Arabidopsis thaliana: one gene and its partners. The protein of the gene in region 1 interacts with the protein of each later gene in a pairwise test. Each region holds a gene or a part of one and is shown on either strand. Other genes may lie near its edges. The genes, in order: AT4G17810, AT1G61660, HB24 and AT3G45880.

What was found.
Region 2: the proteins of AT4G17810 (region 1) and AT1G61660 interact in a two-hybrid assay, tested with the Arabidopsis thaliana proteins (one large-scale study listed by BioGRID).
Region 3: the proteins of AT4G17810 (region 1) and HB24 interact in a two-hybrid assay, tested with the Arabidopsis thaliana proteins (one large-scale study listed by BioGRID).
Region 4: the proteins of AT4G17810 (region 1) and AT3G45880 interact in a two-hybrid assay, tested with the Arabidopsis thaliana proteins (one large-scale study listed by BioGRID).

The regions. Positions count from the first base shown.
Region 1 is NC_003075.7:9,905,230-9,908,567, forward strand, and holds AT4G17810 (C2H2 and C2HC zinc fingers superfamily protein), read left to right. Parts: upstream 1-1,591; 5' UTR 1,592-1,688; coding exon 1,689-2,303; 3' UTR 2,304-2,798; downstream 2,799-3,338.
Region 2 is NC_003070.9:22,753,105-22,758,205, reverse strand, and holds AT1G61660 (basic helix-loop-helix (bHLH) DNA-binding superfamily protein), read left to right. Parts: upstream 1-1,834; 5' UTR 1,835-2,034; coding exon 2,035-2,357; intron 2,358-2,477; coding exon 2,478-2,886; intron 2,887-2,982; coding exon 2,983-3,090; intron 3,091-3,176; coding exon 3,177-3,242; coding exon of another isoform or gene 3,243-3,326; exon of another isoform or gene 3,327-3,371; coding exon 3,372-3,437; intron 3,438-3,531; coding exon 3,532-3,585; coding exon of another isoform or gene 3,586-3,603; exon of another isoform or gene 3,604-3,684; coding exon 3,685-3,836; coding exon of another isoform or gene 3,837-3,840; exon of another isoform or gene 3,841-4,199; coding exon 4,200-4,203; 3' UTR 4,204-4,595; downstream 4,596-5,101.
Region 3 is NC_003071.7:7,970,505-7,973,641, reverse strand, and holds HB24 (homeobox protein 24), read left to right. Parts: upstream 1-1,560; 5' UTR 1,561-1,731; coding exon 1,732-2,520; 3' UTR 2,521-2,616; downstream 2,617-3,137. Other genes in the region: AT2G18340 (late embryogenesis abundant domain-containing protein / LEA domain-containing protein), read right to left, coding at 2,617-3,137. UniProt on the Arabidopsis thaliana protein: Putative transcription factor.
Region 4 is NC_003074.8:16,868,406-16,873,637, reverse strand, and holds AT3G45880 (2-oxoglutarate (2OG) and Fe(II)-dependent oxygenase superfamily protein), read left to right. Parts: upstream 1-2,052; 5' UTR 2,053-2,093; coding exon 2,094-2,741; intron 2,742-2,829; coding exon 2,830-3,005; intron 3,006-3,201; coding exon 3,202-3,272; intron 3,273-3,378; coding exon 3,379-3,509; coding exon of another isoform or gene 3,510-3,515; exon of another isoform or gene 3,516-3,716; intron 3,717-3,771; coding exon 3,772-3,783; 3' UTR 3,784-4,724; downstream 4,725-5,232. Other genes in the region: RUS1 (root UVB sensitive-like protein (Protein of unknown function, DUF647)), read right to left, coding at 1-94, 230-345, 425-623, 733-789, 891-1,166, 1,240-1,941; UMAMIT3 (nodulin MtN21 /EamA-like transporter family protein), read right to left, coding at 4,800-5,004, 5,105-5,232. UniProt on the Arabidopsis thaliana protein: Histone demethylase that demethylates 'Lys-27' (H3K27me) of histone H3 with a specific activity for H3K27me3 and H3K27me2, and involved in the regulation of gene expression. No activity on H3K27me1.

The DNA of each region.
Region 1 (3,338 bases):
AACGTCATTGTTTGCTTCTCCCTTAATCTATCTTTCCTTTATTCTCAACTTCAATACAATAATATAGTTATATACATACAAACGTTTTGACCCAATGAGATATACAAGTACCAACATTGGTATATATGTTTAACTCGGAGATGCATATTATCGGGTTAAGCTTTTTTCAACATCGTTCGTCTAATGTTTGTGATGGATAAACTCGAAAAATTATATATGCTTATAATTAACTTATGATATTAAAATGACTGGAATTATTGAAACTTTTAACCCAATTTTAATTAGCACTTAAATTTGTACACTCATTGTCAATTAATTTTGGATTAAAATCATATAGTGTTCCTATAAACAAACATATTTTATCACTGATCATGATGAAGTTTTTTTCGCATTTTAAACAAAAATAAAATAAAAAGAGCGTTAAAAGGCCTAAATTACGTACTTGTCCAACGGCCCATTGAAAGCAAACGCAAGGATCCATAATGACCTTTATTTGGGCTGAGATTTATCATTGTACTGTAATTTGACTATTTTCCAAGGAAAATTAAGTCCCTTTTTATGTTTTTATTTATTTGAAAAACATGACAAAACAAATGCAATCCACATGGTCCAACGAAAGAGCGATCTAGTTGAAATCTAACTAAGTTCCCAACGAAACCACTGTTAATGTAACTTTACATGGCAAATATCTTTCGGATATCAAGGCCCATCACTTTCAGCTCTTCTGTTTTTCATTTTTTTCCCAAAATTTGTATTGTTTAATATTCCTAGATTTCAAATTGTAATAAAATTTTCATTTGGCATAAGAAAAAAAAATAATATCTTTTTCTACATAGAAAATAATATATATAATATGAGTTCATACACCATACATGTGTGTCTATATACATATATATAGTTTTGTAATGTATGTATATCTCGAATTGTAGCCATATGTAGGATGATTATCTAAAATATATGGTCATAATGTCACAGTGTAAAGCTACTCTAGTCATTTGTCAGATTCTAACAAGAGAATCTTAGTAATGATCACGCAAAGCTAAGATCTTTGCTTCACCATTTAAAGCAAACAAACTTTGTCTTAACCTTACATAGGACATCAAAGTCACAACCAACTTTTTCCTCTGTAAATCTTCACCTATTTATATAAAATGCACACTATTTTTTTATTTATAATTGGGCTTCCTATATTAATTAAATGCATAGCAATCTATGATTTAATGTCTTTTTGTAACAAAGTACCAACGAAGATAGAAGAACACACCTAAAAGTGTAGAGTTCTATAAAGACGTAAAGTTTATGTAAATTTCTGAAAGTAGCTAAATATATGTAAGTAATTAATAGAAAATGAGATTTCATTTTTACTTTTCTAACATATATAAGTTACTAAAATATGTTTGCACTGGATTTAATAGAAAGAAAGTATATTATATTTGCAAATTTTGAATTATACATGTGATAATCAAAATGTGTGTGCTCTTACACTCAGTAAAATTTATTATGGTAAAATTTCTTTCATTTACTGAAAATGATATTTTGAAGATAAGTGACCTATCTATGTATATATTTCGGGTCCATCTTTATATTTATTATTGAATTTACATCATTATCCACCAACCCCATCTTCTTCTTATTCTTCATCTTCTACTGAGATTTCTCTTTTTTTTTCAAAAAAAACTCATCCTTGAATGAACGGTGGTGCATGGATGTGGAACCCTAACAAAATTGAAGAATTGGAGGATGATGATGAATCTTGGGAAGTCAAAGCCTTTGAGCAAGACACTAAAGGCAACATCTCTGGTACCACTTGGCCTCCAAGATCTTACACTTGCAATTTCTGCCGCCGTGAGTTCCGTTCTGCTCAAGCCTTAGGCGGTCACATGAATGTCCACCGCCGTGACCGCGCCTCATCTAGGGCTCATCAAGGTTCCACCGTTGCGGCTGCGGCTAGAAGCGGCCACGGGGGGATGTTACTCAATTCTTGTGCTCCGCCGTTGCCTACAACGACACTTATAATACAATCCACGGCGAGTAACATTGAAGGTTTGTCCCATTTCTACCAACTGCAAAACCCTAGTGGCATTTTTGGTAATTCTGGTGACATGGTGAATCTTTATGGTACGACTTCGTTTCCTCCGAGCAACCTTCCGTTTTCAATGTTGAATTCTCCAGTAGAAGTTCCTCCTCGGCTTATTGAATATTCGACAGGAGATGATGAGAGCATTGGCTCGATGAAAGAAGCGACAGGAACATCAGTGGATGAGCTTGATCTTGAACTTCGGCTAGGGCACCATCCACCGTGACATTTCATTTTCATGACCCACTCGAGGCTTTCACATTAATATCTATTCATACACAGGTTCTTTAAATCTTAATTTACATGTTGTTGTTAAATTCTGAATTCAATTTGGCTTGAATTGTGTATCACAATTAAATTCATTCGATTTCATGCTTTGGTTCCTTGATTTCAGAGCGTAAGTTTACAAGTATATGTTTACTTAATTTGATTGGTTAGATCGAAATATATACAATGAACCCTGCATTATATGATTTGTATATACTTATATTAAATTTCATCTCAGAAATCCCATAGAACCCATATATGTATTGATTACTATTGCTTTTTATATATTCTGTCTTTATCATTACTTGGTTTAGTAATGATTTTCTTGAAAAGTAACAAGGCTCTTTGAATTCAAATTTCCGTTTGATGGAGAAAATTTACAATTAACGAACATTATCAGTAGTTTGTTTCAAATGCTCAAAACTTTCAAATTATTAAAAGCGTCTACACATTTAAAAAAAAAAAAAAAAACCATTCCTCAACAGAAGATAAGAAGCCAATATTTTTTTACATATTTCGTAGAAGGCAAATTTGTTCTTACTATTTCCATATGCTTTAGGGTTTTGGAGTATTGGAATGATGAAGAGATATGCGTTGAACTGAGTTTTAATTTATTCCATTCGTTTTATACTTCTATTACTCCATGTCATGTTAAGTAGTTTGTACATGCATTATTTTGATTTAGTTTCTGATTAAATATTTAACTATATATCTTTTTTGAACGATTTATGGATATCTTGTCATAATTAGTTTTCTAATGCTCAGGCGACTCAGAAGTATCATTCGTGACAGAGAATCTGGTTTTTCTTTTTCTAACTAAAGTTCTCTAATATATCTGATATTTAATGCCTTTTTTATCACGATGTAGGGGAGAAACTTGAATTAATCCTGGTCTTATCCCCGACTTTAGCTAAGAGATCAATTCAAAAACTTGATTGAATAAGTTCTTGTAAGTTTATGCATTTCACAAATAATATGTGATGTACGTTGCTTC
Region 2 (5,101 bases), on another chromosome or scaffold:
TTTGAATCATTGGACTACCATAAATGATTAGTGTCTTTTTTGTATTACATGTAACGTAAAAATACCATTCTTCAAGCATTCATAACAATTTTTTTTTTGTCAAGATACATAACGTAAATTTGAATTTCGTAATAACGATACTAGCACAATTTAGCTTAGAATATGTCCAATTTTTTTTTTTATTTTGAAAGGAGATAGATATATAAATATTATATACATGGATATCGGTGAAATTATGTTTATTATCTATGCCTATCGTTTGATAAAACTTGTATATTTTATGGACGGTGACACAGCCCGGTTCACTATGCCTCGAGCCGTATAATGATCATAAAGAACAGAACTGGTTACTATTATCAGGTTCAACAAATCCATTTTTTGATATTTTGTGTGGCTATCAGTCTATCACATAAAATGGAAAAAGAATTAAGAGAAAGAAGAAAAACAAAACAATGACTTGTAATTAAAGTGCAATAATTGATTGACTTATCAAATTTATTAGAAGAATAAAATATTTACGGAATTTAGAAAAAGCTAGTTGAAAAGAATAAGGACCGTTTGGTATAAAGAGATTGTGAAAAAAGTCACAAACACAATAGGTCCAGAAACGGTGACGTGACACACAGATCGAAACTCAGCATCGATCGACGATCGTCATCATATACCATTTATCCCTTTAGCCTCAAGCCACAAGAACAAATCTTATTTTATAGTACTATTTTTAACCGAAAGAATCCGATCGACAATGAAATAAATATCGAACTCATATCAAGTGCTAACTCTAGGTTTTGCCATTAATTTTGCGTTTTCCAATCGAGCTAAAAACAATTGATCGTCTATTAAAAAAATAAAAATTCCTATGATCGCTTTTTCGATCTAAAACTAATTTTTAGTAATAGTAATACCTGTTAAAGTATAAATATCCCTCCCAAGTACTGAAAACTCAAACCTGAACGAGCTAGCCTAGGACTCAACTTTTATCTCGAAAGAATCTTTGAATATTACTTTTGAAAATAAGTGAGTCTAATCCTTGAAGATATATGTTTTAAAGTTTTTTTTAGCAAATGCGATTGAGAAAACATATATTTTAACTTCAAGATAATCATTACTGTATGAAAGTATGGATAATTAATTAGAAGAAACGTTGTTCAAAAATTGGTTAGTCGTTTATAATTACCAAAATAATAAAACAATTATTAATACGCTTGCATAGACTAATTAGTTTTTTTTTTTCCTAAGCTTACTAAAGTGATCTGATAAAAATCATGTATGGAAGCATGAAAGTAATAAAAAAATATCAAGTTTCAAAATTTTAGTCTTTCATATTTATGTACATTTATATATATACGCATGCGTAGACTATAATCAGTCATTTTCGTGTTTTGTCTATACAATTACTAAAAACTGATTTAATCAAAATCGTGATATGTTTTCTATTTCTGACCACTTAATATAAACGATCGATTTGTAGAATTTGATGGCAACCAATCAAAGGTTACCGTTAGATATAATGTCTATATATAAATAGTATCCCCTTTTGGCATCTTGCATAATAGTACCAAACACCTATCTAATCTCAAATTAAATATTTAAATATTTATAAAATGAGGATCATTATCACTTCTTCGAAAAGCTAAGCAGCAAAGAAACAAATCTCACAAAGACAGTTGTTCTTATAATAATAGAAGAAAATTGAGGGATTAGGAACACTATTATTACAACATCTTTCTGTCAAATAAAATATTTAGCTTAAGGAAAAAATTTAAAATCAAGATTATTTAATTAAAAAAATCACATAGGAATGTTATGATGATATAAGTTTTTGTCTTCAAATGTCAACTAAATTCCGGTAATTTCCACACACTTGTCCGTACTTGCCTATATAAACATACACACCCTCATAAACATATATCAAAATTTTACACTTATGCTCTTCATATCACATACAACAAACTCATATATATAAAAACTTTAACCTTCGTATAGCAACGATCTAGTAGAAAGCTTATACTAAAACTTTCTGATTCTCTTAATATGGCGGAGGAGTTTAAAGCTACGGCATCGATTTGTGGTGGCGGAGGTGGCGCGTGGTGGAACTCGCCAAGGAGCGTTATGTCTCCTTCGGATCATTTCTTGTCACCATGCTTCGGAGCGGCTATCACTTCCAATGATTTTAGCTCGCAAGAGAATCATCTCAAATCTAGGATGACTTGTACGGACAACAACAACATCGTTTTCGGGCAGCGAGAGGCGGATTCTGACAGTGGAGGAAGTACCGTGACGATGGACTCGACGTTGCAGATGATGGGTCTAGGGTTTTCCTCAAATTGTTCTTCAGATTGGAACCAAACCATTTTGTAAACTTCTTAAAGAAAAACCCTAACTTAATTTTTTTTGTTCACTTTCTTGATGAACAAGATTGAAGATTTTTAATAATAATCATGAGATCTCTTTTGTTCTTGTTTTGTATTTTTCAGACAAGAAGACTTAAACTCAAGCTTCATAAGGAGCTCACAAGATCAAGATCATGGCCAAGGATTCTTATCCACAACTACTTCACCTTATATACTTAATCCAGCTTGTTCTTCATCTCCATCAACTTCTTCGTCCTCAAGCTTGATACGAACCTTTTACGATCCCGAACCAAGTCCATACAACTTTGTCTCCACCACAAGTGGTTCAATCAACGATCCTCAACTTTCTTGGGCTAATAAGACAAATCCTCATCATCAAGTAGCTTATGGACTAATTAACAGCTTCTCTAACAACGCAAACTCTCGACCCTTTTGGAATTCTTCATCAACCACTAACTTAAACAACACGACGCCGAGCAATTTTGTAACCACTCCGCAGATAATATCTACTCGTTTGGAGGACAAAACCAAGGTAAATTATCTCATATATGTCAAAATAATTTTGCTACTATATAAGTTTTGTGGCTATATTATTGAATTTATTTATTTATTTATTTTTGTTGAGAAGAATCTGAAGACAAGAGCTCAGAGTGAGTCTTTGAAGAGAGCAAAGGATAATGAATCTGCGGCGAAGAAACCGAGAGTCACCACGCCTTCACCGTTGCCAACTTTCAAGGTACATGATCATATTTCAAGATTTGTTTAAGACCTTTTATTTTAATTCAATTTCTTGGTGGATAAAATGGATTGTATATGTAACAGGTGAGAAAAGAGAATCTAAGGGACCAGATAACTTCATTACAACAACTAGTTTCACCTTTCGGAAAGGTGAATGATTTATGTGTTTACTTTATTTTATATGGCTTAATATATACAACCAAAAGCATTTATTTTCCCTTGGTTATGTATTGAGCTTCTTAGTTTGTTTATTTTGTATATCTTTGGGTTAAACTTCAGACAGATACTGCATCTGTTCTCCAAGAAGCTATAGAGTACATCAAGTTCCTTCACGACCAAGTCACTGTACGTTTCTTGTGATTTCTCTCCTAACTCACTGAATTCATAAAACCCTAGAAATGAGCAAATTTTTAAGCATATTAATGTTTTTTAAATACAGGTTCTAAGCACTCCATACATGAAACAAGGTGCCTCGAACCAACAACAACAGCAGGTTCAATACACGATCTAGTGTTTTAGTTTTGTCCAAGTTGGAGTCTTCGTGCTATAATCATGGTTAAATAAGTACTAATTTCAGTATGGATTCATGTAGATATCTGGTAAATCGAAGAGTCAAGATGAAAATGAGAATCACGAACTAAGAGGACATGGTCTATGTCTCGTCCCAATATCAAGCACGTTTCCGGTGGCTAACGAAACAACAGCCGATTTTTGGACACCAACGTTTGGGGGCAACAATTTCAGGTAGAGAAGGTGAATTACGTATATCATACGGTTCTTAATTAGCATTAAGATATTATTTAATAATGCTTAGCATAAAAATAAAAGAAAATAAAATTCACAAGTCATGATCAAAGATTGAATCATTACTTGGAGAAAAAGTAGAGATGGGAGAAGAAGAAGGTGACTCTTCAAAGGTGGGCAGAGGCAACAATAGTGTTGGAGGGGACCAACTACGAAAGCAAGAATGATTTAGGGCTTAGAAAATTTGGGATAATAATCTATCATAAACTAATAGATAGATATATTTTTAAAAACATTAACTTACATACTCTCATGTTATATATGTAATAATTAACCTAAATTTCACTTTTTAATTATATATAGGTGATTAAAGAGAGAGGGTTGTGGTTGTCAAGACGGATGGGAACATATGCTAAATTCAGCTTGGAGACTCTAAAGCATAACAATAATTTTTAATGTATTTTCTTCTTCTTTCAATATTTTAAGGGGGGTTTATTGCTGAATTTAGCATATATGGGTTGTTTTTATGTTGAATAACCTTTTGTTCCTGTCATTGTTCTTGAATATATATATATACATATTTTTGTCGTTGGTAACATCTTTGTTAATCACTTATTAAAGTTAGAGAACATAATAATTGGTGGTTTGTCATATGAAGTTCTTTGTTGTTTTTATAGAGTTGTTTTTTTCATGTTTAATCATAAATTTTAATTTTAACAATCACAAAACCAACACTTATAACCTAATTGTTTGTGATAGTGCCGTTACTCTTACATAGTTACATTTATGTCCAAACTTGCAAACTTGCACATTTTCTGGATACATGCATGTATTTATGTTCGTACATATCCATGTATAAATATGTGTCCATATGGATTCAACTTTTTGTTGGTTCGATTAAGAACTATATATTATGGAAATTCAGTAGTGGAAGCCAGTAGAATAGCGGCCCACACTGCTTCCTACTTTATGATTTGAATATACATATATGATTTTAGTATAGATACCGATAAATATATACTGATTTGCATTCAACATCATTTATGTTTACAGAAAAAAGATTATTCATATGTTACTATAAAGACATATATGTGTGTCTAATCTATCAAATGCCACTCAAAAATATATGCAATGCAAGAACAGAATTCTTACCTTAGATCTCAATATCGATAAAATACTCAACAAGTCCCATGCATGATTAGTACGTATTTATTATTAAAAAACAAAATCTCAAATTATGCCCTATTGGAAATTAATGTTGGTTT
Region 3 (3,137 bases), on another chromosome or scaffold:
ATCTAGACTGACCATTCAATTTAAATATAATTGTTCAACTAACTAAACAAATGATAATAATCCTGTATGTCATCAACGAATCATAATCATTATCCAGCACTAAAATCCTTTTTTTGTTCTTCTATCATGGTCTACTGATCTTTTGGCTCCATTTTGGAGAAATCAACCGTAACTAAAAGTATATATATATATATATATATATATATATATATATATATATATATCTTGGTTTGAAGATTTAGTTTTAGTTTTATATGTCAAGTAGAACATCATTCGTCCACTTTCTGTTCTTTTTTTTTGTTTTGATTTTATATTTATTCTTCTAAACCATAATTCTCATCCATTAGATACTTATTTTGAATATCTTAACAATAAATATTGTTATTTTAATGTAACTTACACTAAAATGAAAAATTTAATATTAAATATAAATTGACAAGTGGAAGAAAAGCCTATTAAGAATTTTTTTCATAAGTTTTTATATATTAAAAGTCCGGTAAAAGCTCTCCAGTTTTTCCCAAAAAAATAAAATGAAATAAAGCTCTCCAATGAGAATTGTGTAAGGATTGCATTATGAAACACAAATCCGGTCAAAACACTGTCGATTACTCCATTTTTTTTATTTATTGTATGTTTTCATAACTTTAAACATTAAGGGTGTGTACGGAAAAAAACATTAAGAATGTGATTGGTTACTCTAATTAGCGCAAAATAAAAGAGTTGAGAAAAAATTCTGCCCAAATCATCTTATTTTGGTTGTCTGAATTTTAAAAATCAGATCAAAGTAGATAAGAGACCATACCATATATTACAAATATTTCGACCAATTCGATTTTCGCTTATTTTACAAACAATATTTTGGTTATCTTATTTATTTTACAAAGTAAATGTTCATAAGGTATTCAATCTTTCATTTTATTTTACAAACAATATTTAATGCATGCACCATAATATGTTGCACTGATCGTACTAAACCTACTTACATCGCTAATTTTACGCTAAGCCACAGACACTAATCTCATCAACTATACTAATTGTTGACATTCGACTTAATTAACACAAGATAATTTTATCATTACTCAACATTAAAAACCAATAAAAGAAAGATGTATTGCGACCAATGTGCGGACACTGTATGATAGAGAAACAACGTGGCACTGTCTGCTACAAGTCCACATCTTACTTTCTCTCTCCATCTCTTGTTTCTTAGTGGACTGTGTTATTATTATTATTGGCACAGACCAAACCCACTTGGCTCCTTCATTAGATTTTTTTTCTCTCTCGGAAATTGATGGGCAATAGGAAACACGATTCTCTAATTCTCTCTCTAGAAGGACCAATAGTGTCTTCTTCTCTCCTCTTTTCTCTTTCTCCATTAGTAACGACCTAAACTTTATTTTCTTTTCTTGATCTCTTCTTAAATGGGGTTAGATAAGTTTTCCCCTTTAATTTAGTTGCTTGTAGACTTGAGATTAGTCTAGTAGGTTTTGGTGGGCTATCACTAATACAAAAGTCAAAGTCAAAATTTTTAAAAAGGTTTCAACTTTGGAAGAGATATTTATCATCTTCATTTTCTCTATAGGTTTATGAGAAGCTAAAGCTATGATGATTTCTTTAATCAAAATAGCTTAGGGTTTTGGAGAGAGATTACTAAGAAAGTTTTAATGTTTGTTTAAGAGAAAAGTTATATATTAGGGTTTTCTTTATTCAGAAGCTTCAAGATCAGAAAAGATGGAAGTTAGAGAGAAGAAAGATGAGAAAATGGAGATGACAAGAAGAAAATCATCAGCTCTAGATCATCATCGTCTTCCTCCGTACACTTACTCCCAAACCGCCAACAAAGAGAAACCCACCACCAAAAGAAACGGGTCGGACCCGGATCCGGATCCGGATCTTGATACTAACCCAATTTCTATATCTCATGCTCCAAGATCATACGCTAGGCCTCAAACTACTTCTCCGGGGAAGGCAAGGTATAGAGAATGCCAAAAGAATCACGCGGCGAGCTCCGGTGGACACGTTGTCGACGGTTGCGGCGAGTTTATGTCTTCCGGGGAAGAAGGCACGGTGGAGTCTCTTCTTTGTGCAGCTTGTGATTGCCACCGGAGCTTCCATAGAAAAGAGATCGATGGTTTGTTTGTTGTCAATTTCAATAGCTTTGGCCATTCACAGAGACCACTCGGAAGCCGCCACGTGTCTCCGATAATGATGAGTTTTGGTGGTGGTGGTGGTTGTGCGGCGGAGTCATCGACGGAGGATCTAAACAAGTTTCATCAATCTTTTAGTGGTTATGGAGTGGATCAGTTTCATCATTATCAACCCAAGAAACGGTTTAGGACAAAGTTTAATGAAGAACAGAAGGAGAAGATGATGGAGTTTGCTGAGAAGATTGGTTGGAGAATGACAAAACTAGAAGATGATGAAGTGAATCGGTTTTGTCGTGAGATTAAAGTTAAAAGACAAGTGTTTAAAGTTTGGATGCACAACAATAAACAAGCAGCAAAGAAGAAGGATTTGTAAGAGATTTCTATATATATATATATACTATTTTTACTTCTCTTTGTTCAACATTGCTTTAACTTAAAGACTTTGTGTTTATTGTATAACAAATTGATTTTAGAGCTCAGCATAACGGTCTCTTATTTCTCCCGCAACTTGAGAAGCCTTTTTCTTTGCGGTTTCATAAGCATATTTTGTGGATTCTTTGGCTACACCGTACTTTTCGCCGACTTTTTCCATGGCTTCTTCAAATCCTCTAGTTGCTCCATCTTTGGCATTGTGTGATTTGTCTTTCATGTAGTCAATAGAATCATCCATTGCTTCTCCTGCCGTGTCTTTGGCACTCTTTGACTTTTCTTTGGCTCCTTCATAGGCTTCACCGCTCTTATCCGTTGCCATCCTAATCACATCACCGGCCTTGTCGTATCCGTAACCCGCCTTGTCATATGCAAAGTCTTTTGCATCTTGGGCCTTTTCGTAAGCTATGTCTTTTGCATTGCCAGCCTTCTTGTAGGCGTAGTCTTTGGCCTCACCAGCTTTCTCATAACCAGAATCCTTTGCCTTCTGCGCACTGCCATAAGCAGATCCCACCTTATCATAGGCCATGTCCTTGGCATTGCCCGCCTTATCATAGGCCA
Region 4 (5,232 bases), on another chromosome or scaffold:
GGATAACATCGCTGAGCTTTGACCCTAGTTGAAGCCGTTCCTCTATGTCTGCGGCTGCTGCTTTTGCTTCTGATGATAAGACAAAATCTTGCAGCTGAATAGAGCAGATACTAAGAATCAATCAATCAGGTCATCAAGTATTGTTTTGTTCATCCGAGAAAGTTTTTAGATTTTAAACTAGTTGATAAGAGATCTCAGAGTGTATAATAAGGTGAATGAACACTTTTACCTTTTCTGGAGATTTCATGTTTGAAAACCGAACTGTTGGGAAGAGCGGTTCTTCATCGTTGACCTCCTTGATTAGAGGAGCTTGGCCGCTGATTAGATATTCACTAAAAACCAAACCTGCAAAATAAACAGAGATGTTATTTTCGTCTTGTAAGACGATTTGAATGAATTGGACGTCTGCAGGAGTGGGATTTACTTGCACGGTATGGGTTTAGAGTCCGGAGCTGGATACACTGGTAAGATTTGAGATTGGTATACATATGGATTGTAGTCACAACTCCAAATGCAGCAAGGGCAAGACTTGTAGAGGTTCCTATGCAATTGGCAACCACTATTCCTAGCAGAATACCCACTGACTTGCTCACCATTCCTTGAGCTTCACCCTTGGCAATTACCTACAAAAGAAGTTGTTGATGCATACACTAGAGACCCAGAATAGTTGAGAAAAACAAATAGCTGTTGATAAGTGATCAAGACTAAGGCCATATAAAAATTATTGTAGACCTCAGCAAAGTTCCTTTGAGAAGCAAAGCCAGCATTGAAGCAACTTCTAGTAGCAGCCTGCAGACAAGTAAATGATAAGTTCAATAGAAAATACTAAACTATAACAAATGCTGCACTTAGAGCTATGCAAATAGAGCTTTCAGAGACAAGAACAGAACCTGAATCAATGCAGCAGCAGATCGACCAGCACCAGCAGCAGCACCGATCATAACGAAAAACTGAGGGAAGACTGGCGTAAGCATCTCCATACCAAAAGCAGCGTTTTCAAGAAGATCAGCAAATAGCCTCCATCCTTTGGGATGAACATCGAAATGTCGTCCGTATTTCGACAACATTATCTTACTAAGATACCCAATTCCATCTTTAAGCACCCAATTGATAGCTGCAGCTGTAGGAATTGCTCCTTTACCTAACCCAACTGCATAAAGCAAAGACTACCAACACAATATAATGAACACCAAGTGTTTGTGAAAATGCCTAAGAGAGATGATAAGCTCAGTCGTCTACCTGAGTGGCAAGAACGCCGCTGATTTGACTAGCAATACCTTGAACACCTCTCCAGAGAGAGTAATCGAGGTAATCAGAAGTTACACTATTGGGAAAACCTTCAGGAAGAAGGAATTGAGTGAGAAGGTTTCTACATTGAGCTAGGAGATTCTCAGGAGTTAGAGAAGATGATAATTCAAAAGCAGATTCTTCAGAGACGAACTCATCTTTGACAAAATCGGGAACTAGTCTCTTCCTTTTACTTCCTCTCACTTCCCAAACCGTCTCTTTCACAGCATCTCCATTACTATCCGAATTTTGATCTTTAGCTATGGCGGACGCAGCTGATAATCGGAAATGGAAGAAGCAAGACAAGCCCAATAAAAGAAAGCAGAGGTATCTCAAATCGAAAGAAGAATCATCAGAGTTATCGCCGCCGCCGTCTCCTCCGCCACCGCCGCCATTTCCGTTATCATTATTACCGTTACTTCCACCCAAGTCTGCACTAAACACTGAAGCCAAGCAATTTCTCGTCGCGAGTGATTGTTTACTGAAATGATCATTTACATTAGCGACTAATCGGACGCATCGGGAAAACGAAGAACCCGATGGCTGCCGGAGTGATTGCCGTGGGAGAAATAAACGCTGCCGGGAAGAAACATCACTCCACCGCCGTGAAGCGACGACGGAAGCGTCACCAGAAAGTAGATAAGAACAACTCATCTTCTTCTTCCTCTTCGAAACAAGTTTATTTCAAAAATCCTATTTTTATAACAAAAACAGTTTTTTTTCTTTTTTTCTTTAAATATAAATTAGGGTTCTTGGTTATGTGTTAAAACCCCCAAATTTTTTGTCCCGCCAATTTTTTTTCGTCAATGGCTAAAGAGATAGAGAATTTATGGAGAGAAGTGAGAGAATTGAGCTTAGGAACTAAAATCGATCGTTTTGATTCTCAACCGTCTCCGGTGAAGTTTCTCCGAAACTACGTGTCTCAGAGCAAGCCTTGTGTAATCTCCAAAGCTATTACTCATTGGCCGGCGTTAAAACTCTGGTCAGATCCGGCTTACCTCACCGGAGCTTTGTCAGATGACGTTGTCTCGCTACATCTCACTCCTAACGGCTGCGCAGACGCCGTCACCGGAGATAGTGATCTTTGTTTCGCTTCGGCTCATGTTGAGAAAGTTCTGTTCCCGGAGGCTCTTAAGGTTGTTCAATCGTCGTGTAAAGGACTGAAGGTTGGGTATTTGCAACAGCAAAACGATTGTTTTAGAACGGAGTATTCGACGGTTGCGTTAGACTGCGACGGTGATATTGAGTGGGCTACGGAGGCATTTGGTTGTTCGCCGGAAGCTGTGAACCTTTGGATTGGTACTGATGACTCCGTGACTTCATTTCATAAAGATCACTATGAGAATCTTTACGCTGTTGTTTCAGGGGAGAAACATTTCCTTCTTCTTCCTCCGACTGATGTTCACCGTCTCTATATCGAACAGTATCCGGCAGCTAATTACTCTTACCACCGAGTCTGTGAGATTTTTAGATTAATAAGTTTCAATGAGTTTGGTTTCTTGTTAAGTGATGTTGAATGAGATAAAGTTTGAATCGTTATAGGATACTGATGCGTTCAAGCTTGAGGTTGAGGAGCCGGTTAGGCATGTACCTTGGTCTAGTGTTGATCCATACCCTTCGCCAGAGAAGGAAGCAAGCGAGAGATTGAAATTTCCGTTGTTCTTTGATGGCCCGAAGCCGTTTCATTGTACTGTCAAGGCTGGCGAGGTTCTTTACCTGTAAGAATTTAAATCCCATAGCTCCACAGATTGAAAATTCTCAGAAACTTTTTGGCTTAATTTGGATCACTAATGTATCTACTTCAGTCTTACCTTTGCTTTATAAGAAACAAAGATTAGAAATGGGTGATAGACCTACTACACAATTGGATTTTCTAGTCATGATTCTGACTCAGAATGGTTCTGAATTTTGCAGGCCAAGCATGTGGTTTCACCATGTTAGTCAAACCCCAGGAGATGGAGGTTATACCATTGCAGTGAACTATTGTAAGAGTTTTAGTTTTGCTTCCATCATCTGTTTGTCTTCAGTGGCAAGCCAGTATTTTTCGGCTCTCCTTGCCTCTAATAAGCTATGTATGCATCTAATTTGCAGGGTATGACATGCAGTTTGACATCAAGTATGCTTATTTTAACTTCTTGCAATCTTTATTATACAAGTCATCTTCACTCAATCCAGTTCTTTCTTGGAGAGAAGACGAAGATTCAGAATCCAGTGATGCAGAGGTATGAAGAGATGAAACAACATTTTTGCTGAGTTCAGGTTTTCTCAGTCATGGTAGAAAGCTCGGAGAAGATCTTAAATTTACATTATGTAATATTTAGACTAAGAAGATCTTAATTTTATTACTTGTCATGTCCATTGGTGCTTTCTCCACTATAACTTAAGTTTTGTCTCCCAGAATTATAAAGAACCATAAAATGATAGAAAAGCTCTGAAATTCTCTGAATTGTATCTCTTTTGTTGATGACTTCATTTTTGTCTCAGATTGCTCCCTGATTTAATGGTGGAACTCTGAAGCCATCATCTATATAAAAGCTCTTGTGGCTGTGTTTGGTTCAATATGTTCTTTAATTAAAATCTCCAGAGTAATTCAGATAAAAACTCTGGAACTGGGTCCATGGTCAACTTCTTGTCATGAATCCCATACATAACCTGCCGTTATTAACGCCATCCAGAGGATCGAACTCCTTGTTGCTTGACTTCCGACATTCTTGGGTTACTGGATTGTCTTTCTCCGTCTGGAACCGAAGAGCTGTACTCTTCTCTGGCTCAGAAATCAACTGACTCGTGATCGCTGGTGGGGCTTATAGAGCTGCAAGTTCACATTTTGAAATCTGGGGTAAGACCAACCTTGCAGTTTCTCAACCGTCTTTTTGATGTGTGTATCATGTTGGCGCCTGGACCTCGCCCGCCACATATGGAATAAATGCCCTACAGAGATTTTCGTTGCTCTGCAATTGTTATCATCAGCTGTATAGCCTGTATTGCAATGGATGGTTACCAAAATGCCACTTCTCTCCTTGTTGCTATGTTGAACAACATAATGTGATGTGTTCTAAAAGCATGTGCCTTGATTTCAGATTTAACATCAGGGAAGCAAGTTCACTCCCTCTGCCACAAATTTGTATCTTTCTTCCACTTATGTTAGTGATGGGGCTAGATTTTGGAAGCGAGTGCATGTGAATTCCATAAAGCTCGGGTTTGAATCAAATGGTTTGATACAAAGTGGGCTGATTGATATGTACAGGAAGTATAGGTTGGTGATAAATGCAGAGAAGGTGTTCAGAGCTATGGAGGGTCAGACAGTTTTAACTGTTGGAGGCTATGGTTTCGAGTATTATGCAGAATGGTTTTCGCATTGAGGACATCAAACCTGATAATGAGACTCTGTTAAACATTGATGTTTATATGCATATATATACTGTTAGAAAATAAAATAGTCACTCTCTCGTCGGCAAAAGGTTAAGAAAACATCGGAGCACCCAAGTAATTCAAGAAGCCAGAGTTTTTGTTCAATCATCGGATTTTGGTGAAGAGATGGGAGATTTTGTGAATAGATGTCCTATTGGTTTGTTTTTATGGTCCTTGTAGATCAAGGGTTCAGCTTCCTTTGAGGTGATCGGGATCACAGCCATTGCTGCTGCCGCTTTCTTTTCTTTGTAAGATGCCCAGGTGACACTATAAAGACCTGCTATGATTGCACATCCGCCTAAAATGCTAAGAGAGGAGGAGAAAAAAGCCTAGTTAGTTAGGAAACTTCAGACACATCCCGTTGATGGCTGAGAATAGCTAAGAGAAAAGGAGAGAGATATTAAACCTCCCCAAGTAGATAGGGCTTCCAAGGAAGATTCTGGACAAGAAAGCTGAGGCTGCGGGTTGAAGAGGATTATAGAGAGCAACCAAGGAAGGACCCAAGATCTTATTTGACCATGTCAAGAGACCATA